Anolis sagrei: one gene and its partners. The protein of the gene in region 1 purifies or fractionates together with the protein of each later gene. This does not show direct contact. Links are inferred from orthologs where the notes say so. Each region holds a gene or a part of one and is shown on either strand. Other genes may lie near its edges.

Region 1 (8,016 bases):
CTTTATTAAGGCATGATCATTTTTTTTATTTTAAAAAATTGAAAATGTGAACTGACACACGCACACATTTTGCTAATAGGGCTTGGAGCACACTTAGCAATAATACAGCGTTTCCCAACTGGGGGGTCGTGGGGGGGGGGGTCAGAGGGGTCTCCAAAGACCATCAGAAAACACAGTATTTTCTGTTGGTCATGGAGGTTCTGTGTAGGAAGTTTGGCCCAATTCTATTATTGGTGGGGTTCAGAATGCTTTTTGATTGTAGATGAACTATAAATCCCAGCAACTACAATTCGAAAATGTCTAGGTCTATTTTTCCCAAATGCCATCAGTGTTCACGTTTGGGCATATTGAGTATCCATGCCAAGTTTAGTTCAGATCTATCATTGTTTGAGTCCACAGTGCTCTCTGGATGTAGGTGAACTATAACTCCAAAACTCAAGAATAATGCCCACCAAACTCTTCCAGTATTTTCTGTTGGTCATGGAAGTTCTGTGTGCCAAGTTTGTTCAATTCCATCATTGGTGGAGTTCAGAATGCTCTTTGATTGTAGGTTAACTATAAATCCCAGCAACTACAACTCCCAAATGACAAAATCAATCTTCCCCCACCCCAATCTTCAAATTTAGGCATATCAAGTATCTGTGCCAAATTTGGTCCAGTGAATGAAAATACATCCTGCCTATCGGATATTTACAATACAATTCATAACAGCAGCAAAAATACAGCTATGCAGTAGCAACAAAAATACTTTTATGGTTGGGGATCACCATAACATGAGTAACTGCATTCAGTGGTCATGGCATTAGGAAAGTTGAGAAACGCTGCAATAATATATCACTTCACAAACTAGGCATCACTACAGAAATACAATAAGAATATAATTCAATCATAGTTTTGCTATCAAACCTGGAGAAACATGAGTAATATGCCATCAACACGCCTATTCAGATATCCTTGATACTAATGAAATAACATGTTAATTAAAAATGTTTTCAGTTGTTTTTGTAAACCCAAAATATTAGGTTAATGTTGAGCATGAATATGATTTCCTAGTTTTTTTCAAACCCTAAAATATTTGACCTACTCTAGTGGAAATAGTAATTAGAAACAGCCAGCAGGAATTACTTCTAAGAAAACGCAGCACATATTACTGATTGTTTATATGAAAGTGGAAAGTTGGAGATATCTATAAACCTCAGTCAATCTTTACGATGGCTGCATTTCAATCCAAACTGTCACTTGAGATGCAAAATTTGGTCAGTTGTGTTATGATAGCAGAAATATTCTGTTTTTATCCAGGCATGCTAAGCAAGCATCCTTGGTATTTTACTGTGTCCCAATGCCAAACCTTGTGTTGTGTTTTCCAGAAAAGAATGAAAGCGGTTGGCTGCAGAAATATCCAGTTTCTTGATCATCAACAGACATTAGCAATAGTAGACATGGTGATTAAGGTTACTGTTTCTATGCTTAATATACCCTTTATGGCACACAGTAAACTACTTAAGTGTCTGGAATAGATAGTGAAGTTCTTCTTTGATGACTGTTCAACAGAAAAACAGGGAAACAGGGAAGAGAATTCGCCTTTTCAAGGCTCTTCAGTGATATTCCAAATGAAAAGAGCAGGAAGGGCTGCTTTTTTCTCTACCAATCCATGTAGAAGTGTCTGTTGGGGGCAGGAATACAAAAATAACAAGCTAGTATATTTGTCATACCAAGTAAATGATAAATAATGTACTTTGGAATAACTCTTTAGGCTACGTGAACATCGACAACCACCTTCAAGACAACACATATAGAGAGAACAGGGAAGAAATAAAAGCTCCAAAACTGGTCATTAATAATAATAATAATAAAGACAGAGAACAGGACTGATTGCTGATGGGTCCAGACTAGAAGCTGGATACAAAACAGATTTCAGTTTCCTCCCAAAGACAAAACCATGCAACGAAGAAACAGACACTTCTTGCAACAAAGAAACAAAGGCTCCCACCAGTCAAACTCTAAATGCAAGCAGTTATTAAAATCCCACACCAACAAAAAGCAAGTTAGTAGAGCTCTGCTTTCCTTCTATATGTCTGATTAAGGGTGCATCTCTACAGTGCAGCATGAATGCAACTTGACATCACTTTAAATGTTGTGACTCAATGCTGTGGAATCCTAGGAGTTGTAGTTTAGTGAAGCACCTGAACTTTTTGGCAAAGAAAGCCAAAGACTTGGGGTGCATCTCTACACTGTAGAAATATTATTATTATTATTATTATTATTATTATCTGCTTTTATCTCTTGATTGAGACCCAATGCAGTTCTACACCACTTGAACAGCCATGACTTAATGCTATGGAATCCTGAGAATTGTCACTATGCAATTATTATTGAAACACAACAAGATAAGTCCACAACAAACAAGAACACTCTGCTGGTTGTTGTATTGGATCACAAGTCAGACACTTCCCAAGTGTCTAGGGCTGTGTGATGTATTGGCGAATAATGCATGCAGATCCCAGTAAGGTGGCCTTTTGCAGCTGACAGATGGTGATTTTGTCAGCACCGATTGTGTTTAAGTGCAGGCCAAGGTCTTTAGGCACTGCACCCAGTTTGCCGATCACCACTGGGACCACCTTGACTGGCTTGTGCCAGAGGCTTTGCAGTTGTATTATTAATAATAATATTATGTTTATTATTATTATTATGTTTATTATTAGTATGTTTGTTTATACTCTGCTTTTTCTCTCCATAAAAAGCCTTTTGCCTCCCCTGACAAAGAATGTTGTCTCACCAAATTACAACTCTCACGATGCCATAGAATGGAGCCATGGTAGTTCAAGTGGTGTCAAACTGCAATAATTCTACAGTGTAGAGGCACCCTGGATTTACTGAGGCATAGGAAAAGAGAGCAGTGATTCCTGATAGCCAAGAAGGCAAATGGAAAGGGTGCAGCAACACCAATGTGCTTTGTGAGGCCTAATTTCCCCTGAAGTGTGGATGTGCCCTGTAGAATGAACACTGTTTGACAACATCTTGAATTGCCAAAGCTCAAGGCTACGGAATTATAGACCATGTAGTTTGGTGAGGCACCATCGCTTTTGGGCAGAGAAGGCTGGAGTTTGTAAAATTTCAGCTCCCAGAATTTCTTAGCATTGAGCAAGGAAGGTTTGAAGTGGTGTCACATTGCATTCATTCTATAAATGCACTAGGAAACACTACCGGCATTAATTCTGGGTTGTTATGAGCACAGAGTTTGCATGGGATCCTAAACTTCCAGAAGAAAGCTTCCCAAATTTTGTGAGGCTTGGGACAAGAGGACTGAGACTCAAAATGGAAATGGAGGTGAAGGAAACAGGTGAAGCAACACTTTAGGCCCCTTCTAGTACATCTTGATATATATTAGGCATGGGTAAACTTTCTAAATTAGGGTCTGCATGGCGAGCCAGAGCGGGATTGGGGGGCAGGAAGGAGGGGGTTCTCTCTAAGTCCCCTTGCTGCCCTTTCCTCTTCTCTTTCAGAGGCAGAAAGTGATGGAAATACAGGAAATGTTTGGATCCCAAAAGGGTTGGCCTTGATCAGGATGAGAGGGTGAACAGGAGAGAAAAAGTCTATCCATTAGACACTGTATAGAATCCTGATATAGAATCCTAAAGCTGGAAGAGATCCCCCAAGGACCATACAGTCCAACCCCCTGCCATGCAAAAAGGCACAATCAAAGCATTCTTGAGAGATAGCCTCTGCGGAAAAGCCCCCAGAGAAGGAGACTCCACCACACTTGTAGGCAGACTATGCCACTCTGCAAGAGCTCTCACACTCAGGAAGTTCTTCCTCATCTTTTCAGTAGAATCTCTTTCCCTACCATTTGAATTCATTGCTCCCTTGGTGCCCTGGTCTTTAGAGCAGCAGAAAGTGAGTCTCCCCCCCCCCCTTCCTCCTCAATGAGGCACCCTTTGAAATCTTGAAACATGGCTTCATGTTTCCTCTCTAACATCTCTTCTCCCAGCTAAACATCCCCAAAGAAGGAAGGAAAAAGAGAGGAAGGAAAGATGGATGGATGGAAGGAAAGATGGGTGGAAGGGGAGGGAAGGAAGGTGGAAAGAGAGAAGGAAGGAAGGAAAGAAGGAAGGAGAGATGGGGAAGGAGGGAGGAAAGAGGGAAGGAAGGCTGAAAGGGTGGAAGGGACAGAAGGAGGGAGGGAGAAAGAGGGAGGAAAAGGGAAGGGAAGGAGTCAAGAAAGAGAGAAGGAAGGAAAGATGTATGGAAAGAAGGGAGGTGGAAGGGAAGGAAGGGTGGGAGGAAAGAGAGAAGGAAGGAAGGAGAGAGGGCGAAGGAGGGCGGGAGGGAAGGAAGGATGAAAGGGTGGAAAGGAAAGAAAGAGGGAGGAAACGGGAAGGGAAGGAGGCAGGAAAGAGAGAAGGAAGGAAGGAAAGAGGAAAGAAGGAAGGTGGAAGGGAAGGGAGGAAGGGTAAGAGGAAAGAAGGAAGGGAAGACAAAAGGGAGGGAAGGAAAGAAGGAAGGAGAGAGGGCGAAGGAGGGAGGGAAGGAAGCATGAAAGGGTGGAAGGGAAAGAAGGAGGTAGGGAGAGGGGGGGGGAGGAGGCAGGATCATGAGGGGGGAGGGCTGTGAAAAGAGCCCAAAGGTCTGCCGCATCCGGCCCCCATGCCTGGGTTTTCCCATGCTTCCCTTAGTGCCTTGTGAGGCCTAACTCTCCCTAAAGAGTGGACAAAGGAGAAGTGATGCAGTTTGGCACCACTTTTCAATGGCAGGGGATTGTGGAAGTTGTTGTTGTGGAAGTTCTCTGCCCAAAGAGGCGGGTGCCTCCCCAAGCTACGAATCCCAGGCTCCCTCAGCCTTGAGCCAAAGCGGTATGGGGCTGAAGTCGTGGAGTTGGCGGCCAAAGCCGGCTTCCTGGAGGCGCAGCAGAGCTTGCCCTGGAGGCGCCTCCCTTCCAAGACGGCGGCGAGAGGGGAAGCCCCGCTCCTCCTCCTCCTCCTCCTCCTCGACGAGGCAGCGCTCCGCCCCGAGCCTGACGGCAGCAGCCAGGAATGCGTTTCCGGAGGCGGCCAGAGAAGCGAGCTGGGCCTGGCCCTCCTCTCCCCGGCCCTGAAGAGGCGGCCTGGCTCCGGAGGACAGAGGAGGAAGGCAGGGAGGAAGGCGCTTCTGCTGGCCCTTCCCAGCCTTGAGGCGCAGAGTTGGGCCTCCCTTGGAGAGGAAGGAGAAGAGAGGAGAAGGAGGAGAGGCTTCAGGGAAGAGCCACCGCCGCCATGGCCCAAGTAAGAGGACTCTGCTTCCTTGAGGTGCAACTACATGTGGCCTGGACAAACTTGGGCCCTCCAGGTGTTTTGGACTTCAACTCCCACCATTCCTAACAGTCTACTACAGCTCCCAGAAGCCCCCAGCCTGCGAATGCAGGCTGGGGGCTTCTGGGAGCTGTAGTAGGCTGTTAGGAATGGTGGGAGTTGAAGTCCAAAACACCTGGAGGGCCCAAGTTTGCCCAAGCCTGCTCTCTATGGATTAACGCAACTTCTAATGGCCTTCTTGTCTTTGTAGCTTCTGGGAGGAAAGGAGGGAGGCCAAGGCGTGGCAGAGGCATTGCTGGACTCGTGTTGGGAGGCCATCCCAGCCCTTCCCTTCCCTTCCCTCGCCTTCCCTCCTTCCCACCTGCTTGAAACAACCGGGACATTTTATCCCACCTCCCTTTGAGGCAACAGTGTTGCGGCAAAGTTCGGATTTGTGGGCGAACTGATTCATTGTGGCTCTACTTTCCTTCCATAGGAACCCAGGCTGCAAAGGCTTCTGCCACCTCTAAATCACAGAGTTGGGAGAGACCACAAGGGCCATCCAGTCCAAGCCCATTCTGACACGCAGGAAGGCACAATCAAAGCACTCCCGACAGATAGCCATCCAGTTTCAGTCTCCAGAGAAGGAGACGCCACCAAACCCCGAGGTTGGGTATTCTATTCAACAGTCAGGGAGTTTTTCCTATTGTTTAAATGGGATTTCTTTTCCTGCAATTTGAATCCATTGCTCCCTGGCTAAGGCCCCTTCTATATAGCCCTATACCCCAGAATATCATGGCAGAAAATCCCACAATATCTGCTTTGAACTGGGTTATCAGAGTCCACACTCAGAAAATGTGGGATTTCCTGCCTTGATATTTTGGGATATAGGGTTGTGTGGAAGGGCCCCCAGAACATTAAGGCAGAAAATCCCACAGTATCTGCTTTGAACTGGGTAATCAGAGTCCACACTCAGAAAATGTGACATTTCCTGCCTTGATATTCTGGGATACCTATATCCCTATAGCCCTAGCTGTGTGGAAGGGCCCCAAGAACATTAAGGCAGAAAATCCCACAATATCTGCTTTCAACTGGGTTATCTGCATCCACACTCAGATAATGTGGGATTTCCTCTCTTGATATTCTGAGTTATAGGACTGTGTGGAAGGCCCCTAGGGCCCCTTCCACTTAGCTGTATAAAATCCCACATTATCTGCTTTGAATTAAGGGCCCTTCCACACAGCCTTATATCCCAGATATCATTGCAAAAAATCCCATATTATCTGAGTGTGGACTCAGATAGCCCAGTTCAAAGCAGATATCGTGGGATTTTCCGCCTTGATATTATGGAATATAGGGCTGTGTGGAAAGACCCTAGGTTATATGGCGGTGTGGACTTAGGACCCTATCAGACAGGCCCTATATCCCAGGATCTGATCCCCAGTGGCGTAGTGGGTTAAACCAGTGGTTCTCAAGCTGTGGGTCCCCAGGTGTTTTGGCCTACAACTCCCAGAAATCCCAGCCAGTTTACCAGCTGTTAGGATTTCTGGGAGTTGAAGACCAAAGTATCTGAGGGCCCTTCCACACAGCCCTATATCCCAGAATATCAAGGCAGAAAATCCCACATTATCTGAGTGTGGACTCAAATAACCCAGTAGAAAGCAGATATTTTGGGATTTTCTGCCTTGATATTCTAGGATATAGGGCTGTGTGGAAGGACCCTGGGGACTCATAGGTTGAAACCCATTGGGGTAAACCCTTGTGCCTACAGAACTGCTGACCATAAAAGTCAGCAGTTTGAATCTGGAAAGCAGGGTGAGCTCCTGTCTGTTAGCTCCAGCTTCTCATGCAGGCCCATGAGAGAAGCCTCCCACAGGAACGCAAAACATCTGGGCATCCTTTGGGCAAGATCCTTGCAAACGGTCAATTGTCTCACCCCAGAAGCAACTTGCAGTTTCTCAAGTTGCACATGACACAGAAAAAAAATTCCAGGTTTTCTGTTTATCCCAGATTATTTTGCAGTGGAGACTCCTATAATCCAGTTTAATGCGGAAAACCTGGCATCAGATCCTGGGATATAGAGCCTGAGTGGGGGCCCTTCCACACAGCCATATAATCCAGAATATAAAGGCAGAAAATCCCACAATATCTGCTTTGAACTGCCATATATCCCAGTTCAAAGCAGATAATGTGGAATTTTATTCAGCCGTGTGGAAGAGGCCTGGAAGGACTGTCAGATAATCCAGTTGAAAGCAAATATTGTGAATTATCTGCCTTGACATTCTGGGCTATATGGCTCTGTGGAAGCGCCCCTAGTATCCAGGGCAGTGGTCTTCATTGGAACATCCTTTCAAATATGTAAATATAGCTCTCATGTCCCCTCTCCATCTCCTTTTCTCCAAGCTAAACATATCCATCTCCCTCCCTCAATGCTCCTCTTATTAGTGCTTGGCTTCCAACCCTTTGTCTGTTTTGGTATCAGTGATGTTAGCATAATGTGCCTTTGAAAGGGAAAAGAGGAGGGAAAGGGCAGGATGTAATTGGAGAAGTTTTGGGGTGCGTCTGTACTGTAAAATGAATGCAGTTTGACACCACTTGAACTGCCATGGCTCAAGGCAATGGAATAGTGGAAGGTGTTTGACAACGTCTTTAGCTTTCTCTGCCAAAGAGGGCTGGTGCCTCACTAAACTACAAGGCCCATGATTCCTTGTCCTTGAGCCAGGGCAGTTAAAGTGCTGTCAAGCTGCATTAC
Region 2 (7,569 bases), on another chromosome or scaffold:
GACATGGAATCTAGCAGCGTCTTTTAATTCATCTCTTTCAGCGTAAGCTCTTGTGATATCAACCTACTTCTTCAGCTGTAGAGATGGTTAAAACCACTGTTAAAATAACAATTACTTTTTTGTTTGTGGCATTTCAGTTCATTCACTTAACTAACTCCAGTTGCCTCATATGTTGGCAATGTGTATAAATACCCTAAAGGCACCAGATCCCATGTGATCGTGGAAGGGTTTGCTCTGGTTAGTACATAGCAGGGAAGTTGCCAATGTATATCATGTGCTGGGGGCTATATTTCAGAAGAAAGAAATAACAAACAACCTCTGGGTATTCCTTGCCTGAGAAAACCTTATGAAATGCATGCATTCATTTCATCATAAACCAACTGGTAACCCAAAGGCACATTCACATAACAGCAAGCCCCAGACTCTGGATTTGTATTATGCCTTCCTGGAACAGATGATTACGCCTTCAAAAAGGAGGGATATATCTAGTAATAATGAAAGATTCGAACTATCCTGATATTTTTGGATAACAGCTCCAACTAATCTCTCACCTGCTTTGCTAACAATTATATTATACAGAAGGTGGAAGAGGCAAGAAGGGGATCCTAACTAACAGTGAAGATGAGACTAATGGGATGGAAGTGCTAGGTTGCTTAGGCGGGACTGACCATGATCTCCTGGAGTCTGTTATCCAGTTCAAAGGGGAAATCCAAGCATAGTGAAACATTCATTTTAGACTTTTAAGAAAGCTGATTTCAGTAATCACTGGTAATAATCTTAGAGGATTCTTGGAGAGAAGGGGAAAAAGGAGGGCACAATAAATTACAGTCCAATCAGCCTGACATCAGTTCCAGGGAAGATTTTGGAAAAGAGCAATAGAATCAGGAAAACTAAAGGGAAAGAGATTCTATGTACATATCAGGAGACCACAGTAAGAGCTGTAAAACTTCTCTGGGGGTTTTAAGCATAAGCTAGGTGGCCATCTATCAGGAGTGCTTTGGGTCTATTATTGCATGGCAGAATGGGGTTGGACTAGATGACCTTGGGCTCTCTTCCAACTCTAGGGGCCCTTCCACACAGCCCTATATCCCAGAATATCGACAGAAAATCCCACAATATCTGCTTTGAACTGGGTTATCTGAGTCACACTCAGATAATGTGTGATTTTCTGCCTTGATATTCTGGGATAGAGTGCTGTGTGGCAGGGCCCTGAGTCTACACTGCCATATATCCAAGTTCAAAGCAAATAATGTGGGATTTTCTGCCTTGACATTCTGGATTATATGGCTGTGTGGAAGGGCCCTAGGAGTCTCTGAACATACCAGTGGAGGTTTCCATGTATCTGGTGGAGTTAATTGTAGTCCAAGAAAGCCCTCAGCTTTGTTTAGAGTCTCAGGCTCATCAGTCTGGGGAATAATGGCAGCTGCCTTTCAAACATAACTTCCATTTTTCTAATTGAGACTGCTTTCAGTGCAACAAATGAAAGCGCCTGCAAACTTGGGCTACTTCTGTTTAGTGAAACATTTATTTTGCTTGCAGCCACAAGCCCTCCTTTTTGGCTCAGGATATGGAATTGCCTCTTTGATATATTTTTTCTCACTTGGATCCACTTTTCTAATTCAAATTTAGCTGTTCAAGTGTTCCAAAACTCTGGAAGCATAACACTATATAATAAAATTTGAAACATTTCTGTTCCCGGTTTGAAAGTGTTCCTTCCTGTTTAATTGTATGGTCCTTACTTTGAAAGCAGTTGTCATATTATAGAAACTGTTTATGTGGCGGCGACAAACTATGTTGAATTGTTTGAGACTCTAGGACAGTGGTTCCCAATTTGTGGTCCGTGGACCACCAGTGGTCCACAATAATGCAAATATGGTCTGCAGCCTCACCATTACTACACTGTTGCCTCAAAACCACACAGCAACGAGAGCAACTGGTTTTGCGAAACCCTCTTATAGTGACGAGGCAACAATGATGTCGGGAGGGGAGAGACTGATTACCTACAAAAGATTACTACTACTACCACATCAGCACTACATTATTAAATATGGTTTTGTATAGGCAAGCAGATGGTGACTACTGGATAGCATATGTCCTGTAGCAGAAACTAGAGCTGATGTGGTCTATTCAATGCAATTTTCTGAAGCAGCACCTCAAATAACCAAACCAAATCTTTGTTGTTTATTTGTTCAGTTGCTTCCAACTCTTCGTGACCTCATGGACAAGCCCACGCCAGAGCTCCCTGTTGGACGTGGCCACCCCCCAGCTCCTTCAAGGTCAAGCCAATCCCTTCAAGGCCTATAGTGTGTTGATCTTAAGAACATTGGATTCGTCGTTCACCTCCAGCACCGTTGGCTGCTAGCCTTCCTTTTGGCTTTGAGTTAGCTGCGTCATCACATCTGGGGCTAGTTGAACTTAATCCTCTGCTCCTCCCCATCTTCCAACCTGGGAGTCCCATCTTTTGATGGCATACCGACATATCTCTAGTTGTACTGATCCATTTAGTTTTCATGGCAACAGTACTGGGGTGGGTTGCCATTACCTTCCCCAGGGATCGCATTTAGTCTGACCTCTCTGCCACGACCTTCCCGTCTTGGGTGTCCCTTTACAGTTTCGCTCGTGGCATCATTGAGGTGCTCAAGCCCCAGCACCACAACAAGACAATGCTTCTCTGCTGGAGCAAATTTAAATCTAAAGTTGACCAAAAACAATGTATTGTTGAAGACCAAAAACTAATTTGTAACCCTTTTGGTATTAATGTTGGGGAGTGGTCCTCTAAATGCACTTTACTATGGATCTAGGAGTGTCTGCACGCCCCATCCCTCTCTAAAAACTCTATCTAGCTCCTATTTCATCTTTTCATGCTCAGCATTATTTTTAAATTTTAATTATTACATTTGGCCCAGCCATAGGTTTTTAAACGTCCCTGTGTGGCTGTTAATGTTTATTGCTTATTTTTAATGAGTTTTTATTTTATTGTTTTGTATTGTTGTTTGTTATTGCTTTTATTATTGATGTATTGTGGGCTTGGCCTTATGTAAGCCGCACCGAGTCCCTTGGGAGATGGTAACGGAGTATAAATAAAGTTTCATATTTATTATTATTATTATTATTATTATTATTATTATTATTATTATTACTGGTCCCTGTTCAAGTGGCCCCTGGTCAAAAAATGATTGGGAACCAGTGCTGTAGGAGATGTTTTGCCCCCATACTGTACTTCCCCCTGCCTGTTTGAAGGCCTGTCTCCACTACTCCATTTCCAATGAGCTTCTCCCTCGCAAACATTTTTGTTCCATTTCTAACTAATCCTGAGTTATTATCATTTTATCTTGTACATGTGGCCCGCTTATTGTGATTTATCTCTCACTATATTTTTGCACTGTACTATTGTATTCTTATGTTTTATGTATTGCGATGTTTATTCTGTGCTTTTGGTTGTATTCTGTAGTAATGCACTACTGGGTTTGACCTCATGTAAGCTGCCCTGAGTCCCCTTTGGGGAGATGGTAGCGGGGTATAAATAAAATTCATCATCATCATCTTTTTTTTTTTATTAAATTTTCTGGATTTTCTCTTTATACAGTGAAAGAGTGGGAACAATGAAATGGATAGAAAGGGTGGGAAAATCGTCGTATGATGTGAGAGGGAGGTGAGATGGGGAAGGGGAGAGGGAGGAAGGTAATTGGGCGGTGAGGGAGGTGAGATGGGGAAGGGGAGAGGGAGGAAGGTAATTGGGCCCCCATCATCTTGAGCCCCCGGTGTCAGCGCAGTGGGTTAAACCCCTGTGCCGTCAGGACTGAAGACCAACAGGTCGCAGGTTCGAATCCAGGAAGAGGCGGATGAGCTCCCTCTGTCAGCTCCAGCTCCCCATGCGGGGACATGAGAGAAGCCTCCCACAAGGATGATAAAAACATCAAATCACCCAGGCATCCCCTGGGCAATGTCCTTGCAGACAGCCAATTCTCTCACACCAGAAGCGACTTGCAGTTTCTCAAGTCGCTCCTGACATGACCAAAAAAATCATCATCATTATTATTAATTGAAAACTATATCAAAATGTGTTGCAAGATGTCACGGCAAAAATAAAGTTTTGGCAGTTTAATCAACTTTTCCCATGTTTATTATAGCATTGAACCCATTAGGAAATGACATTTAAAATCGTGCCTCATTGTGTAATACACTGCAGAATAAAGGCTGCCTGAGCCCGCTTCAAGTCACAAAGGCTGAAGGCTGTGGGATCCTGAGATTTGTAGTTTGGGGAGGTCCCAGCGCTCTTTGGAAGAGAAAGGTTAAAGACCTTGTGGAAATGCCACTCCCATTATTCCATAGCATTGAGCCATGACCATTAGACTCTAAGTGTCTGGATGGGGTGCTCTTCTTGCCTTTGACCCCCATGCTCCCCCTCCTTTTCCCTCCTTTTCCTGTTGAGTCAGCCCCCTCCCCTCCTTCCCTCCAGGTCACGTGAGGAGCAGCGGAGGGGGAGCTCCGTCTCGCGGGGAGGGGGCGGTGACTCGGGAGGGGGGCGTGGCTTCAGGGGAGCGCGAGGAGGGGGCCGGCTATAAGAAGGCGAGGCGCTGGGGCTGGGCTCAGTCCTGCCCCTTTGGATCCTGCGGTGCTCTTGTTATTGGGTTGCTTTCCAGGAGCAGGAAGTGGCAAGGTAAAAAATAATAGTAAAAGAGGGAGGGGGTCCTTTTTTAACGCGGGAATCTAGATTTCTACAGAAAGGAGAAAGAAGAAATTGTTATTTAGACTCTTATGTCGCTTCCTTGGATTTGGCGCCTTCCCTGGAAGTTTGTCCAGCTGGACGGCCATCTGTCGGGAGTGTTTGGATGGTGGCAGAATTGGGTCGGGCTGGATGGCCCTTGGGGTTCCCTCCCAACTCCAGAATCCTTGGAGTGAGGCCGGAGTTCTATGTTGGGGCTTTCCCAGCCTTGATAGTGCTGGGGAAAGGGGAGAGAAGAGAGAAACTACAAGAAAGGAGATTACATCTGAACATGAGGAAGAACTTCCTGACTGTGAGAGTTGTTCAGCAGTGGAACTCTCTGCCCCGGAGTGTGGTAGAGGCTCCTCCTTTGGAAGCTTTTAACAGAGGCTGGATGGCCATCTGTCGGGGGTGCTCTGTATGTGATTTTCCTGCTTCTTGGAAAGGAGTTGGACTGGATGGCCCATGAGGTCTCTTCCAATTCTGTGATTCTAAAGTGGGTTCTCTTGTGCCACGTTGTTAAACAGAGGTGGGATGGCCATCTGTCGGGGGTGCTTTGAATGCAATTTTCCTGCTTCTTGGCAGGGGGTTGGACTGGATGGCCCAGGAGGTCTCTTCCAACTCTTAAGATTCTGTGATTCTAAAGTGGGTTCTCTTGTGCCATGTTGTTAAACAGAGGCAGGACGGCCATCTGCTGGGGATGCTTTGATTGTGCTTTCCCTTCGGAGTTGGACTAGATGGCCCTTATGGTCTCTTCCAACTTTCAAGAACTCTGGCTGCATCTACACCAGACATGGGCCAACTTGGGTCCTCCCTCCAGGTGCTTTGGACTTCAATTCCCACAATCCCTAACAGCCTCAGGCCCTTTCCTTTCCCCCCTCAGCCGCTTAGGACCCAAGTTGGCCCATGTCTGATCTACACTGTAGAATTGATGCACTTTGATAATAATGGTAATAATAATATTTATACCCCCCTTTATTTATATGCCACTTTCATGCTATTTGAACCCTGGGAGTTACACTTTGGTGAGTTATACTTTGGCAGAGAAGACGGAAAAAAACCCTTGTCAAACTCCTGTGATTGCGTAGCAGTGATATCAAAGTGTGTTAATTCTACAGTGTGGCCACCCCTGACTGTTTGCGTGGGAGTAGGGAAACTGGAAAATTCCGCCTTGGTGGAGAGAGTGTGTCCCTTGTATCTGAATCTCCCCCAACTTCCTCCTGGCAATCTCTTTCTGATACATATGTATCCTGAAAGGATTTACATGAAACCCAGCCCTTGAGGAAACCGGGCCCAGGTTTACTGGAATCCCTACTCTTCCTCTCCTCCCGCTTTCTGCCTCAGGCTGTCTCCTCCAAGTTTCCTGTTTTTCCTTTTCCCAGCCTCCATGATAGGCTTCAAAACGCCCATCTTCTTTTCCCAGCTTCCCTTTCCTTCCTCCTTCGGCGAGGCTTGAACTCTTAACGCCACTTCTGTTCTGTTTTTTCCCTCCTCACAGGGACGAATAAGGCAAAATGGGCGTCGAAGGCGGCATGAAGTGTGTGAAGTTCCTGGTCTTCTTCTTCAATTTCATATTCTGGGTAAGTCAGTGGAAGTAGGGGAGGAGGGAGAGGTTATGGGGCTTGTTTTGTCCTCCTTTCCTCCCTCCGCCATCAAAAGCTCTGGGCTGGGTTTGCTTGGCCTCTTCAGCAGCCAAGGCGCTTTGTTCCACTTTGGGCAATTAACCTTTAAAGGCTGAATTAACTCCGAGTTGTTGCTCCGTTTCCTTGATGGCTTTCCTTCTTTTCTCTATAAGTGCTAGTAGTAAGTTCCCATCACAAGAGCTGTGCATCCTTAGCTGTGTTATAATCCTTTGGGACTCCTACATACGTACATAATAAATGTGCTTCTCATCGTACTTTAAATCTCTTAAGTACCATCATTTATCTGCTGGAGAATTCTAGGCATCCAGCTTTGGAGATGCATATGTCTTTGTACTAAAAGTGATGCCAAAATACTTTGCATACTTGATTTTTAAAAAAGGTAATAATTTCCCCCTGTTCTGCTATGATGTGGGATGAGTTTACCTTTGAATCAAAAACAACTCGATGATTATCAAATTTCTCCCTTTAGGGTTCAGCACAAAGACAACAATGAACTTCATTTGCCTTTCGAGGATGTTTTGTATGTGTCTTCAGGTCACTTGTCAACTGGTGACCCCATGAATTTTGTGAGGTTTTTTTTAGGCAGGGAATACTCAATGGCAGTTTGGCCAGTTCCTTCCTCTGAGGGCCCTTCCATACAGACCCTATATCCCAGGATCTGATCCCAGTTTTTCTGTTTATCCCAGATTATCTGGCAGTGTGGACTCATATAATCCAGTTTAAAGCAGAAAACTTGGTATCAGATCCTGGGATATAGGGCCTATCTGGAAGGACCCTGAGGCTGGATCTACACTGTCCTGTATCCCAGGATCTGCTCCCAAATTATCTGGCAGTATAAACTCATATAATCCAGTTTAAAGCAGAAAATCTAGGATCAGATCCTGGGATATAGAACCTGTCTAGAAGGGCCTTTGAGGCTAGATCTACACTGCCCTAAATCCCAGGATCTGATCCCAGATTATCTGTTTTGAACTGGATTATATGAGTCTACACTGCCAGATAATCTGGGATCAGATCCTGGGATATAGGGCCTGTGGAAGGGCCTTGAGGCTGGATCTACACTGCCCTATATCCCAGGAGCCCCCGGTGGCACAGTGGGTTAAACCCCTGTGCTGGCAGGACTGAAGGCTGACCGGTCACAGGTTCGAATCTGGGGAGAGCGCGGATGAGCTCCCTCTATCAGCTCCAGCTCCTCGTGGGGACATGAAAGAAGCCTCCCAC
Region 3 (7,308 bases), about 40 Mb from region 1:
TTATTATTTGGAAAAAAATGAATGAATTCCTATGCACGGTGCACATATTTTATTTGTAGTGCAAAAAACACTTTAGAACAATACAATAATTAAAATGAAGAACAATTTAAACAAATATAAACTTATTAGTATTTCATTGGGAAGAGTGGGCCTGCTTTTGGCTGATGAGATAGGATTGTTGTTGTTGTGTGCTTTCAAGTCATTTCAGACTTAGGTTGACCCTGAGTGAGGGCAGGGTAAATGACCTTGGAGGGCCGTATTCGGCCCCTGGGCCGTAGTTTGAGGACCCCTGCTCTAGTACATTCAGTTGGTCATGGGGGTTCTGTGTGCCAAGTTAGGTCTGGTCCATCATAGGTCCAGGTCCATAATCGGTGAGGTGCTGAGTGCTCTTCGATTGCAGTTGAACTATAAATCCCAGTACCTACAACTAACGAATGTCAATGCCAATTCTTCCCTACATTTTGGCATATCAGGTATGCAGATCCATCGTTGTTTGCATTCACAGTGCTCTCTGGATGTGAGTGAACTATAATTCTTATAAATCAAGATTAATTTTCCCCAAAGCCCTCCTGTATTTTTGGTTGATCATGAGGGTTCTGTGTGCCAAGTGAGGTCCAGGACCGTCATTGGTGGGGTCCAGGTGCTCTTTGATTGCAGGTGAACCATTAATCCCAGTAACTACAATGGCTACAAATCAAGGTGAATTCCCCCAAAACTTTTGCAGTATCTTTGTTTGGTCATGGGGGTTCTGTGTACCAAATGTGGTCCAGGTCTATTGTCAGTGGGGGTCACAGTGCTCTGACTTGATGTAGGGTGAACTACAACTTCTGTCATGTGGAGTCATACTCCCAGACCCCTCTAGTATGTTTAGTTGCTGATTAGTCTGCTCTGTTGTTATGCAGGCAGAATTGGAAAGAGTAGGAAAGGGTCAGCGGAGAGGCAGTGGACGGGATCATACAAATTGTGTACTCTCTACACCAATGTAGAGAGTAAGAAACACTGGGATGTCTGTGGTGCAGGAAACACATAAAATCTAGGATAAAATTGTCACTGAATGGAAGCATTCCTTGGGTGGTGTGGAGTATGGTGTTGGGGAGGACATTGGAAGGGGTTGGGCTACATGTTCATGGTGCTCGCTATGATCTGAAATGTCATTGAAGAGAGGGCTTTTGGTGGCTCCTCAGCATTGTGGGTTAAATCTGTTTGTGGAAGTGGGCATCCCAGCCACAAACAGACATACACATTTTCACTTTTATTATGGATATAGATAGATACAAATATATAAATAGATTGTTGGTTTCTGAAACTTATTGAGAACTTTTTATATCTTTTTATATCCTTCCATATCCATGAATTCTGCATCCAGAAATTCAACCACCCACAGCTTGAAAATATTTTTTAAACATCTAAAAAGCACGCCTTGATTTTTTCATTTTATATACAGGAAATTATTTTATAACACCATTGCATAAAATGGGACTAGAGTACCCATGGCTTTTGATATCATAGAGGGTCCTGGAACCAAACACAAGTAAATATCACAGGCCTACTTGTCATCAATGGCTGTGAAATCTCAGAAGCCATACAGAGCAATGAACAGCAGTTGGAGAAAATTCCTGGATGTAAATAACTTTTTGTTCTATCTCACGATGGGTACTATTTTGATTTTTAATTTAAAATAATGCCGCAGAGTCTGTAAAATCTGTGTGAACTCTATTGAAGACACTTGACTGAACAAATTATTAAGTTTTTGCATTTAAGTAGTTGCAGGCTTAGTTTACAATGCGTGAAAAAATGTCAGACATGGAATTGGACAACTTAAATCTGGGATTTAAGAACTTAGAGCTCAAGGTTGAGGAAGTGCAGTGCAAGACTGTAAAAGAGGATGATTTTCACGAATAATAGCTAAAGTTTCTTGGCCTATGACTCATGTTGATCTTTTTGATTGTTATTACAGTTTGGGGCTCATGCAGGTACATGACTGATGTCAATAAGCTCAAGTGGAAAACAAGGAACAGCACTTAAAGGTTTATGAGTTCAGGATAAATGAGTTCATTTCCCTGGAGAAAGAAGCTTATTTCACCAGGTTTGGGGCATCGAAACAATGGAATCCACTAATGATTGTATGAGGAAAGTACTATGCTGAGGTCCATGACTGAAAAACGACTTCAAAACCAATAGGAATTTTATTATCTGAGAAACAGTCATTTTCTAAAACCAATTGGAGTTCTTCCAGCTCCAACTTAATCTATAGTCCTGCTTCTTAAATACCATACGTGTTAATTATACCAAAGTTCAAGAGTTGTGTAGTCAACTTGAGCTGGGAAAGCTGCGTTCAGACCCAAGAAATGAATCTCACCCGATCTGGCTGAGTGTCAACCCTGGGATATCTGAGCCCTTACTTACTTAGTTAGGCAATCCTTCGTTGTCCGAGTAGGATAGTCTTACAAGATCAGTGTACTGGCAGTAGGTCCGTAGGTCACTGTGGAGCCCTATTCTTGATCTGCATCTTCTCACGCAGTGAGGGCATTAGTTTCCAGGTGGAAGGTGGCCCTGGTCGGGGTTGGCTTGATGGGCCTTCCTCTTGGCACATTTCTCTTTCGCCCTCCATTCGTGCCTCTTCAAATTCTGCAGCACTGCCGGTCACAGCTGACCTCCAGCTGGAGCGCTCAAGGGCCAGGGCTTCCCAGATCGCAGTGTCTATGCCAGAGTTTTTAAGTTTGGCTTTGAGCTAATCTTTGTTATAGTTCACCTATAATCAAAGAGCATTCTGGACTCCACCAATGATGGAATTGAACCAAACTTGACACACAGTTCTCCCATGACGAACAGAAAATACTGGAAGGGTTTGGTGGGCAGTGTCCTTTGGTTTTGGAGTTGTAGTTCACCTACTTCCTGAGAGCACTGTGGACTCAAATAATGATGGATCTGGACAAAACTCCACACAAATACTCTATATGCCCAAATGTGAACTCTGGTGGAGTTTAGGGAAAATAGAATCTTGACATTTGGGAGTTGTAATTCACCTACAATCACAGAGCATTCTGAACCCCACCGACGATAGAATTGGGCCAAACCTCCCATACAGAACCCCCATGTGGGCCACAGCAACGCATGGCAGGGGACGCCTAGTAAGTTTATATTTGTTAAAATTGTTCTTCATTTTAATTATTGTATTGTTTTGAAGTATTTTTTGCACTACAAATAAGATATGTGCAGTGTGCATAGGAATTCATTCATTTTTTTTTCACATTATAATCCGGCCTTCCAGCAGTTTGAGGGACTGTGACCTGGCGCTCTGTTTAAATCAGGGGTCCTCAAACTACGGCCCTCCAAGGTCATTTACCCGGCCCTCGCTCAGGGTCAACCTAAGTCTGAAACTACTTGAAATTCCATCTGAGGAGATTCCATCTGAACATGAGGAAGAACTTCCTGACTGTGAGAGCCGTTCAGCAGTGGAACTCTCTGCCCCGGAGTGTGGTGGAAGCTCCTTCTTTGGAAGCTTTTAAACAGAGGCTGGATGGCCATCTGTCAGGGGTGATTTGAATGCAATATTCCTGCTTCTTGGCAGGGGGTTGGACTGGATGGCCCATGACGTCTCTTCCAACTCTTTGATTCTATGATTCTATGAAACACACAATAACAACAACAACAATCCTATCTCATCAGCCAAAAGGAGCCCCCAGTGGCACAGTGGGTTAAAGCACTGTACCGGCAGGACTGAAGACCGACAGGTCGCAGGTTCGAATCCGGGGAGAGGCGGATGAGCTCCCTCTATTAGCTCCAGCTCCTCATGCGGGGACATGAGAGAACCCTGGACAACGTCTTTGCAGATGGCCAATTCTCTCACAATAGAAGCGGTTGCTCCTGACACGACCAAAAAAAAAAAAAGTAGGCCCACACTTCCCACTGAAATACTAGTCAGTTTACACTTGTTAAAATTGTACTGCATTTTAATTATTGTACTGTTTTTAAGTGCCGTTTCCACTACAAATAAAATATATGCAGCGTGCATAGGAATTCATTCATGCTTTTTTCAAATTATAATCCGGCCCTCCAACAGTTTGAGGGACTGTGACCTGGCCCTCTGTTTAAAAAGTTTGGTTTAAATGGTTTAAGGACCCCTGGTCTAAACCAAACCCAAACCAGCTCTGATCCAATTCCAGCCCTGGCCTGCAGTTCGCCTCTGGTCCAGAGAGAATCTAAGAGCGGCCGGTAGAGGGCGCTGCGGGGCCGGCTTTGGCTGCGAGGCCAGGCTGGGTGGTGGGAGGGGAGCGGAAAGTCTCAGCGGGGCAGAGCCAGGAGAGTCCCAAAGTGAGCCCGGCTGCGTGCTCTGGCGCTTCTCATAGCGGCGGCAGGGGTCTCTCTGCGGCATCGGACTCTACCCGGGAAGCCTGCCCTACAGTTGCGTCTCTCGCGGGCGGAGGCGTGCTTTGGGGGGCTTCTTCCGCATCTGAACTGAGACCGGGACCCCGGAGGAGGGAAGAGGACTGAAGAGGAGGGACGTGGGGAGCCCCCTTTGCGCCGGGGAGCATGATGGCGGGGCGGCTCCGGCGGGGCTTGAAGGGGCTGCTCTGGCTGTTCTCCGTGGCGTCCGTCTCCTCCTACAACATCGACCTGGAGCGCCCCGTGATCTTCCAGGGACCCAACAACTCTTTCTTCGGCTACTCCGTGCTGGAGCATTACTACGATAGCACGAGATGGTGAGTCGCAGCGTCGCCCTCCCTTTCCTTCCTTGGACCCCAGAAGGAGGCATTGAGCCTGCTTCCCAAGGCCGGGCTTCCCGGTGGGAGTGAGAGGGAGCGCCCTCATCTTCTGGCCCTCGCTTCCAGCTTCCCTCCTGCTTCCTTCTCCATCCCAACTTCAAGGGTTTTCTTGCATGCTGTGCTACACTTAGCCAATAGACATGTAATGGCTCAGATCACAGTCCAAGGGATCTTGGAGTCATGTGTTGCTGAAAGCTTCCATGGCCACAATCACTGCGTTGCTGTGAGTTTTCTGGCCATGTTCCAGAAGCATTCTCTCCTGACGTTTCGCTCACATCTATGGCAGACAACCTCAGAGGTTGTGAGGCCTCTGAGGCAAGTGAGGTTTATATATCTGTGGAAAGCCCTGGGTGGGAGAAAGAACTCTCCTCTGCTTGAATGTTGCAATTGGCCACTTTGATTAGCATCAAATGGCCTTGCAGCTTCAAAGCCCGGCTGATTGCTGCCAGGGGAACACCTTTGTTGGAAGGTGTTAGCTGGCCCTGATTTATTGATTAAATGTACTGTAATGTTTCTTTTTCTGGGTTGTTGTAGGTTTTTTTTGGCTATATGGCCATATATATATATGGCTATATATATCTATATATATATATAAATACTCTGTGCATAATGAGTACCTTAAAAACAAAAGAAACAATGAACGAAATCACACCAAATTTGGCAACAAAACGTCTCACAACACAAGGAGTGACCATCACTCAAAAATTATTATTTTCTCATTTGGGAGTTGTAGTTGCTGGGATTTATAGTTCACCTATAATCAAAGAGCATTCTGAACTCCGTCGACAATGGAATTGTACCAAACTTGGCACACAGAACTCCCATGACCAACAGAAAATACTGGAAGGGTTTGGTGGGCATTGACCTTGAGTTTGGGAGTTGTAGTTCACCTACATCTAGAGATCACTGTGGACTCAAACAGTGATGGATCTGGACTAAACTTGGCACAAGCACTCAATACGCCTAAATATGAGCACAGATGGAGTTTGGGGAAAATAGACCTTGACATTTGCGAGTTATACTTGCTGGGATTTATAGTTCACCTACAATCACAGAGCATTCTGAACCCCACCAATGATAGAATTGGGCCAAACCTCCTACACAGAACCCCCATGTGGCCACAGCAACGCGTGGCAGGGGACAGCTAGTGTGTATATATATATATGTATATGTATATGTATATGTATATGGCTATATAGCCTGAAAAAACCTACAACCTAGTCATTCCGGCCATGAAATCCTTCGACAGTACATTTCTTTTTCTGCTTTTTATCAATGTATGTATTTTATATATGGCATCGAATTGTGCAACTCTGTACGCCGCACTGAGTCGCCTTTGGGCTGATAGGAGCAGGATAGAAATAGCGTAAATAAATCTATATAAATAAAAAGGTAATGTTCGTTTGTGGGACTAACAGAACTCAAAAACCACTGGACAGATTGACACCAAATTTGGACATAAGACACCTAACAACCCAATGTATGTCCTTCACTCAAAAAAATTGATTTTGTCATTTGGGAGTTGTAGTTGCTGGGATTTATAATTCACCTACAATCAAAGAGCATTTTGAACTCCAGCAGTGATGGAATTGAACCAAATTTGGTACACAGTTCTCCCATGACCAACAGAAAATACTGGAAGGGTTTGGTGGGCAGTGTTCTTTGGTTTTGGAGTTGTAGTTCACCTACATCCCGAGAGCACTGTGGACTCAAACAATGATGGATCTGGACCAAACTTGGCACAAATAATCCATATGCCCAAATGTGAACACTGGTGGAGTTTGGGGAAATAGAATCTTGACATTTGGGAGTTGTGGTTGCTGGGATTTGTAGTTCACCTACAATCACAGAGCATTCTAAACCCCACCAACCATAGAATTGGGCCAAACCTCCCACACAGAACCCCCATGACCACCAGAGTAGGCCACAGCAACACATGGCAGGGGATGGCTAGTAAATCTATATAAATAAAAATGTAATGTTCGTGGGATTAACATAACTCAAAAACCACTGGGCGAATTGACACCAAATTTGGACACATGACACCTATCAGGCCAATGAGTGACCATCACTCATAAAAACACTGAAAAACACACTGACAAAAACAACTCCAACCCCAAAAGGCTGTTAGGAAGGCTGTTAGGAATTGTGGGAGTTGGAATCCAAAACCCCTGGAGGGCTCAAGTCTGCCCCTACCTGGTCTACACCATGGAATTATTCCACAGCATTGAGCCATGGTAGTTAAAGGGGCCCTGTAGGCCATCCAGCCCAACCACTTTTTGCAGACACCATCAAAGTCCTCCCAATAGATGGCCATCCAGTTGGAAAGGAGCCCCAAAGGCCATCCAATCTGACCTCATTGGGCGGTAAAGGAAGGCTTCCATGGCTGCAATCACTAGGTTGCTGTGAGTTTTCTGGGATGTCTGGCCATATTCCAGAAGCATTCTCTCCTGATATTTCCCCCACATCTATGGCAGGCATCCTCAGAGGTTGTGAGGTCTGTTGGAAACTAGACAAGGGAGGTTTATATATCTGTGGAATA
Region 4 (7,108 bases), on another chromosome or scaffold:
GACCCACAATTTTCTTATGTCTACACTTAAGAGATATCTAAAATAACATACTGCTAAGTTCTGATATTTATAAGAGTATACATTATGTATATTTTTCTTTACTTTGTACAAATAGATATGTTTTTAAATGATGCCAGATTTTTTTTAAAATGTAGGAGACAACACTTTTTATTTTTTGGCATAATTAAAACAATACCCATTTGTGTAGGGGACACCTGGATTTCTGGCAGAAGTATCATAACTAGGGTGTTACAATTGATAAAGCATTATATGTTAAGCTGGTGGGCAATATGACTGTGTGGCACTCTCGGCACAGCTTTCTCAGCTGATCTGAAAGATGGTGTTAGTAGGGACTTGGCACAGCAGCTGTTTGGATAATTTAAATTATTCCCACCATATATTTTTCTTTTTGTTAGTGCCTGTTTTTACCTTTTGGCCTGAAATCTCACAAAAAGATATACCTGGGAGTGCAATAAAACTTAGTCTAATTATGCTACACTCTGTGAACTCCTTCCCTGTCCACATCTAGTGCTTAAGAAGAGTGAAGAGAGAAGGGGCCGGAAGACAGTTCCACCTTGTCTCCTATGCTATGTCATCAGTTGGGAGCCCCGCTCCCTCCCTCCGCATCCACTACTGCTCTGGGTCAGGGTGAAGAGAGAGGGGGCCAGAAGACAGTTCCACCTTGTCTCCTGTACTATGCTAATAATATAATATAATATAATGTAATATAATATATTGTATATACATATAATAGTTTTAACAATATAATATAATGCAATATAATACTAATAACAGTAATATGTTATTATAATTATATATTTTATATTACATGCAATACTAATAATATTACAATATAATGGTATAGTACAATATAGTAAATATAATACTGATATTTTACTACACTAATAATATAATATATTGTATGTATATATATCTATATCTTGTAAGCCACTCTGAGTCCCCTTCGGTATGAGAAGGGCAGCATATAAATGTCATAAATACATAAATAAATAAGATTAAGAAGCTTCATCTCTCACTAATCTGCATTCATGGTGTAAGTTCTTTGCACCCAAGAAAAATTAATACTCCAGCTGAATGTTGGGCAGCATTCTGTATGGTTTTAAAAGTAACTGAATTAGACTTCTGTTCACACATGAATTTGCTGTACTATTTTAACCAGTATTAAAACATGGGGGGGGGGGGGGGGTCCACAAACACCCGGAAATGGAGTACTAAACCAGAACATCAGGTTAGACAATAGGTGTGGTGTTTACTGAATCAACTCCTCACGTAATTATCACTATATAGTCACTCTTAATTGCAAAATAAATATTTTTAAAAAATGTTGGAGCTTTGCACAGTATTGTATTGAGTAACAGACCCATGACTTTGTGAATAGTGCCATCTGGTGAAAAAGTGAAGAATTTAAATAGGAAATTAAATATTGTGGTTGGAATTAAGAACCAAACTACAAAGTAGAAACAGAACCTTGGCTTAATCTAGTGGTAGCAATTGGCTGTCCCTCCATGATGTTGGAAATTCAATTCCCAAAAGCCTTGCTAATCTTGAGAAGTTTTGGGAGTTGCAGTTGGACAAAAAACCTACAACAACCCAGTGATTCCGGTCACGAAATTCTGGCTTTTAAAGCCCTTTGACAATAGGGCTTTAAAGATCACAACCAACACTTTTTGTTTTGCCTGGAAACTAATTGGCAGCTAATGCGTTGACTCTGTGATAGGTGTAATATGCTAACTCCCGAATGTTCCTGTAGCCAATCTGTCTGCTGTGCTTTTGAACTTGGTACAAAGGTAGCCCAGTGTAAAGGGCACTGTAGAAGTTCATCCTTGAGGTTACCAGCGCATGCACTACCATCTTTAGGTCATCCAAATCTAGGCAGGGGCACAGATGGTGTATCAGCGAAAGCTGGTAGTAGGCTATACACTTATTGCCATAGTTTTACAAAGCTTATATCAAGATTAGCACATACATATTTCAGTTAACAAAGCTCTTTTTTTTTTATTTTTTACAAAACATGTATTCCCCTGAGCAACCTTTTTCTTCTTGTCGTCTTTCTACCTGGATGTTTTAAAACAGCATTGGGATTGGAATGATGGTGAGAAAGATGTAATTTTACTTAATGCGAACATATTGCCAGATCTGATATTTTGAATGCAGTTTGGTGAAAATGAATTCTTTTGTGAAGGGCAATTGCCTTTTCTAGAGGCTTCAATTAGAGAGGTCTTTTCTGCTGGACAGAATAAGGGTAGTCGGAGGAAAAACGGCCTTGGGACACACTTTGCTTCAAGAAAATAAATGTTATTAGACAAAGGTATTCATGGACTATAAAGCCAAGCAAATAACACCCGGCCCTTGTAAAGAAAAAAAGTTTTAAAGACTGAATCAGGAATGCTGAGAAATGTTTTATATATTTTAATCTGCTTTAACTATTTATTGTAAATATTTTCCACGTTTAATCCAATTTTAGTGTTTATATTTATATATGCTGCTTTGTAAACCTGGTGGTGTGGTGGGTTAAACTGCTGGGCTGCTGAACTTGCTGACCGAATCTGGGGAGCGGGGTGAGCTCCTGCTGTTAGTCTCAGCTTCTGCCAACCTGGCAGTTTGAAAATATGCAAATGTGAGTAGATCAATAGGTAGGTAGGTAATGGTGCTCCATGCAGTTGTGCTGGCTGCATGACCTTGAAGGTGTCTATGGACAACACCAGCTCTTTGGCTTAGATAAACCCCACCCCTGAGTTGGCCACAACTAGACTTAATGTCAGGAGAAACCTCTAGCTTTATATACTACCATGTTTTGGGGTATGATACAGTGGTGTGTTCTGATATATGTGTTTTATGCTGTGAGCCTTGAGGCAGTTAACAAATATTTTTATTCTTATTGCGATGATCATATATTTTAGGTGTTTAGGTGTTCAATTGTGTACTATTTAGTATTGTTCTCTGCTTAGGAGTTAATTTCAAGAGATAATAATAATAATAATAATAATAATAATAAACCTTTATACCCCGCTAACATCTCCCGAAGGACTCGGTGCAGCTTACAAGAGGCCGAGGCCCAATACATAAGTAAAACAGCATAACAAATACAACAATAAACAAAGCAATAAACATTAAAACAATAGCAATAAACATTAGATAATAACACCATGACACATTTAAAAACTAAGGCCGGGCCAAATGTAATGATTAAAAATTTTAAAAATGCTGGACATGACCAGGTGAAATGGATAGATTTTTGGAGATAGGTGCGGTATGCAGACAATCTTAAATCTCTAATAAAGTGCATTTGGGATATGATGCTTGGAGTTTCCTATTCTGGGAATGCACACTGGAACAACCACATCTTTTAAGCTATTCCTAAAGACTGCCAACGTTGGGGCTTGTCTGATGTCCTTGGGGAGAGAGTTCCAGAGTCGGGGGGCCACCACAGAGAAGGCCCTGTCCCTCGTCCCCACCAATCTCGCTTATATATGTCTGCACTTGATGCCAATGCATTCTCTTCATTACTATATTCTGCTCTGAATGTCTCAGGGCCCTTCCAGAAAGGCCCTATATTCGAGGATCTGATTCCCAGGTGTTCTGCTTTAAACGGGATTATAAGAATTGCTACTGCCAGATAATCTGAACCTGGGATCAGGCCCTGGGACATAGGGCCTGTCTGGAAGGGCCCTCTGCAGCAGACACCCACAAGGCCCCTGCCAGCCCACTCCTTCTTACTACGGTCCACAGGAGGTACGCTCTCCTGTCACTTTAAGAACGGAGAGGCTCCCTCGTCCTTCAAGCTCCGCCTACTCCGGCTCGCCCGCCAACCCACGGGCGCTTCCGTCGGAGCCGCTCAGCCAATGGCAGCGCTCCACGAAGGGCAGCGCCGTAGGGACGGGGCTTAAGGCGAGAGCGGCGGAGAGTGATGGCGTGGTCTAACCAATCAGAGCGGAGGGGCGGGAAGACTCCCTTTGCCTGAATCAATGAGAGTAGGAAGTCTCGGGGCGTGGGAGGCGGAGCTAGCGGCTGAGAGAGAGAGCGAGAGAGAGAGGAGAGAGTGTGAGGCAGGCAGGCAGGCAACGGACCAACGCGCGCGGGCGGAGGCACGTGACGGCAGGAGGTGCGAGGGGGTTTCTCGGAGGAGCCTCGGCGGGCGAGCTGTGCGCGTGGAGCGAGGTGAGTGAGAGAGTATCTCCCGCGAGGAGGCCCTCCCTTCGTTTCTGCCTGGGATAGAATGTTGCGGCGGGGGATGAGGGGGGGGGGTGGAGGGAGAGAAGGAGAGCGGCCCTCTTCCTCTCGCGCAGGGAACTCTGGGGCACGCACTGGAGGCGGCAAGAGCGGGAGGCGAAGTGTCCCACGGAGGGTGTGTCCGTTGGGGGCTGTGGGTACTGAGTGGGCTGGAATGAGGGAGAGAGAAAGAAGGGGGAGGGGGAGAAGCGCCGGGTCCCTCCGCAGGCCAAACTTCTAGGGCCTTCTAGAGCGGGCCTCTTGGGGGAAGGTGTCGTTGCGGGCCTGTGCGTGGCTTATCTCTTCGCCTCTCGGGTGGGACCTTGAGGGACCTCCCCTCGCCTTTTTACGGGGGGAGGGGATGGGGTGGGCGAGTGTTTCATTTTGTGGAGGGGCTGCTCATAGCGGGGAGGGGGCCTCCTGTGTATCTGCACTGGGGAGGAGAGCCAGGAAGACACTTCCACCGTGTCTCCTGGGCCATCAGTTGGGAGCTCCTCTCTCCAGCACCAATTGCTGCTCTGGGTTCAGAGTGAAGAAAGGGAACCAGGAAGACAGTTCCACCATGTCTCTTGGGTCATCAGTTTGGCAGCCCCTCTCCAGCACCAATTACTGCTCTGGGTCCAGATTGAACAAGGGGAGCAGGGAAGACAGTTCCAACGTGTCTCTTGGGTCATCAGTTGGGAACCCTGGGTCCAGAGTGAAGAAGGGGAGCAGGGAAGACAGTTCCAACATCTCTCCTGGGTCATCGGAGCCCATCCCCCCAGCACCAATTGCTGCTCTGGGTCCAGAGTGAAGAAGGGGAGCCAGGAAGACAGTTCCAACATGTCTCCTGGGTCATCAGAGCCCTTCCCCCCAGCAACTATAGTAATATATAATACTAATATTGTGCTGTGCTCATAAATTTTTTTTGTCGTGTCAGGAGCGACCTGAGAAACTGCAAGTCGCTTCTGGTGTGAGAGAATTGGCCGTCTGCAAGGACGTTGCCCAGGGGATGCCCAGATGATTTGATGTTTTATCATCCTGGTGGGAGGCTTCTCTCATGTCCCCGCATGAGGAGCTGGAGCTGATAGAGGGAGCTCATCCGCCTCTCCCCGGATTCGAACCTGCAACCTGTCAGTCTTCAGTCCTGCCGGCACAGGGGTTTAACCCACTATTAATGATATAATAATTATGTTACATGTAATATTAATAATAATAAAGTATAGTGATATAGTACAATATAGTAATATATCATACTAATATTGTAATATGCTAATAATATAATATATTGTAGACTCTCACCCAGCCTATTCAACTTGTATGCAGAACACATCATGCTATGTGCGGGGCTTGATGAATGCAAGGCTGGGGTAAAAATTGCTGGAAGAAACATTAACAACCTTAGATATGCAGATGATACCACTTTGATGGTTGAAAGCGAGGAGGAGCCGAGGAGCCTTCTAATCAAGGTGAAAGAAGAAAGCACAAAACCTGGATTGCAGTTAAACATCTAAAAAACCAAGATTATGGCAACCGGATTGATTGATAACTGGCAAACAGAGGGAGAAAACGTGGAGGCCGTGACAGACTTTGTATTTCTAGGTGCAAAATTTTCTGCAGACACAGACTGCAGCCAGCAAACCAGAAGACGCTTACTTCTTGGGAGGAGAGCAATGTCCAATCTTGATAAAATACTGAAGAGTAGAGACATCACACTGGCAACAAAGATCCGCATAGTCAAAGCAGTGATATTCCCCATTGTCACCTACGGATGTGAGAGTTGGATCATAGGGAAGGCTGAGCGAAGGAAGATAGATGCTTTTGAACTGTGGTGTTGAGGGAAAGTTCTGAGAGTGCCTTGGACTGCGAGAAGATCCAACCAGTCCATACTTCAGGAAATAAAACCCGACTGCTCATTGGAGGGAAGGATAGTAGAGGCAAAGATGAAGTACTTTGGCCACATCATGAGAAGAAAGGAAAGCTTAGAGAAGACAATAATGCTGGGGAAAAATGGAAGGAAAAAGGAAGAGGGGCTGACCAAGGGCAAGATGAATGGATGGTATCCTTGAAGGGACTGGCTTGACTCTGAAGGAGTTGGGGGAAGTGACGGCCAACAGGGAGCTCTGGCGTGGGATGGTCCATGAGGTCACGAAGAGTCGGAAGCAACTGAACGAATGAACAACAACAATGTACATATAACTTGTAAGCCACTCTGAGTCCTCTTTGGGGTGAGACGGGTGGGATATAAATATCGCAAATAAATAAGTACACTGCAGGATTGGTGCAGATGCCATAGCTTGACGCTGGCGCCCCTTGGACTCTGTCAGCTCAAGGCTATGGAATCGCGGGACTTGTGGTTTTACGAGACCTCCTCTGCCCAAGAATGCTGGTGCCTCACCACATTACAACTCCCAGGATCCCACAGCATTGAAACTGCAAACTCTGACATTCTGTGTATTGTGGGATGTGTGCATGTGTTACTCAAGCTGTGTCTCCCCTGTGGAATGAATGCAGTTTGACACCCCATTCACTGCCATGGGAATCCTGGGTGACATAGTTTGGGGAAGCAGCCAGCCTTTTTTTTGGCAGAGAAGGTTCAAGACCTTGTAAAGCTTAGTAGGAGAAGATAAAAGTTTTCCCTTGACATGAAGTCTATTTGTGTCTGGTGCTGGGGTATGGTGCTCATCTCAATTTCTAAGAAAAAGAGACAGCGTTGTCCGTAGACTCCTGCCAGGTCATGACTGCATGGGGCGCCATTACCTTCCCGTAGAAGCGATACCAATTGACCTCACATTTACATGCTTTTGAATTGCTAGGTTGGGAGAAGCTTGGGCTAACAGTGGGAGCTCACCCCGCTCCCTAGATTCGAGCCATCAACTTTTTGGTAGGCAAGGTCAGT

What was found. The genes of interacting proteins can lie anywhere in the genome.
Region 2: the proteins of ITGB1 (region 1) and CD63 purify together in Homo sapiens (affinity purification with western blotting; 3 studies listed by BioGRID and IntAct, with this or other methods). This does not show direct contact. The link is inferred for Anolis sagrei from reciprocal best matches to the Homo sapiens genes ITGB1 and CD63.
Region 3: the proteins of ITGB1 (region 1) and ITGA9 purify together in Homo sapiens (affinity purification with mass spectrometry; 3 studies listed by BioGRID and IntAct, counting the BioPlex papers as one, with this or other methods). This does not show direct contact. The link is inferred for Anolis sagrei from reciprocal best matches to the Homo sapiens genes ITGB1 and ITGA9.
Region 4: the proteins of ITGB1 (region 1) and CANX purify together in Homo sapiens (affinity purification with mass spectrometry; 3 studies listed by BioGRID and IntAct, with this or other methods). This does not show direct contact. The link is inferred for Anolis sagrei from reciprocal best matches to the Homo sapiens genes ITGB1 and CANX.

Annotation. Positions count from the first base shown.
Region 1 is NC_090026.1:112,675,172-112,683,187, reverse strand, and holds the start of ITGB1 (integrin beta-1), read left to right. Parts: upstream 1-5,013; 5' UTR 5,014-5,249; coding exon 5,250-5,258; intron 5,259-8,016.
Region 2 is NC_090022.1:145,170,992-145,178,560, forward strand, and holds the start of CD63 (CD63 antigen), read left to right. Parts: upstream 1-4,555; 5' UTR 4,556-4,660; intron 4,661-6,203; 5' UTR 6,204-6,219; coding exon 6,220-6,285; intron 6,286-7,569. UniProt on the Homo sapiens protein: Functions as a cell surface receptor for TIMP1 and plays a role in the activation of cellular signaling cascades. Plays a role in the activation of ITGB1 and integrin signaling, leading to the activation of AKT, FAK/PTK2 and MAP kinases.
Region 3 is NC_090026.1:73,095,806-73,103,113, reverse strand, and holds the start of ITGA9 (integrin alpha-9), read left to right. Parts: upstream 1-4,294; 5' UTR 4,295-4,533; coding exon 4,534-4,703; intron 4,704-7,308. UniProt on the Homo sapiens protein: Integrin alpha-9/beta-1 (ITGA9:ITGB1) is a receptor for VCAM1, cytotactin and osteopontin. It recognizes the sequence A-E-I-D-G-I-E-L in cytotactin. ITGA9:ITGB1 may play a crucial role in SVEP1/polydom-mediated myoblast cell adhesion.
Region 4 is NC_090022.1:86,866,369-86,873,476, reverse strand, and holds the start of CANX (calnexin), read left to right. Parts: upstream 1-4,094; 5' UTR 4,095-4,179; intron 4,180-4,342; exon of another isoform or gene 4,343-4,366; intron 4,367-7,108. UniProt on the Homo sapiens protein: Calcium-binding protein that interacts with newly synthesized monoglucosylated glycoproteins in the endoplasmic reticulum. It may act in assisting protein assembly and/or in the retention within the ER of unassembled protein subunits.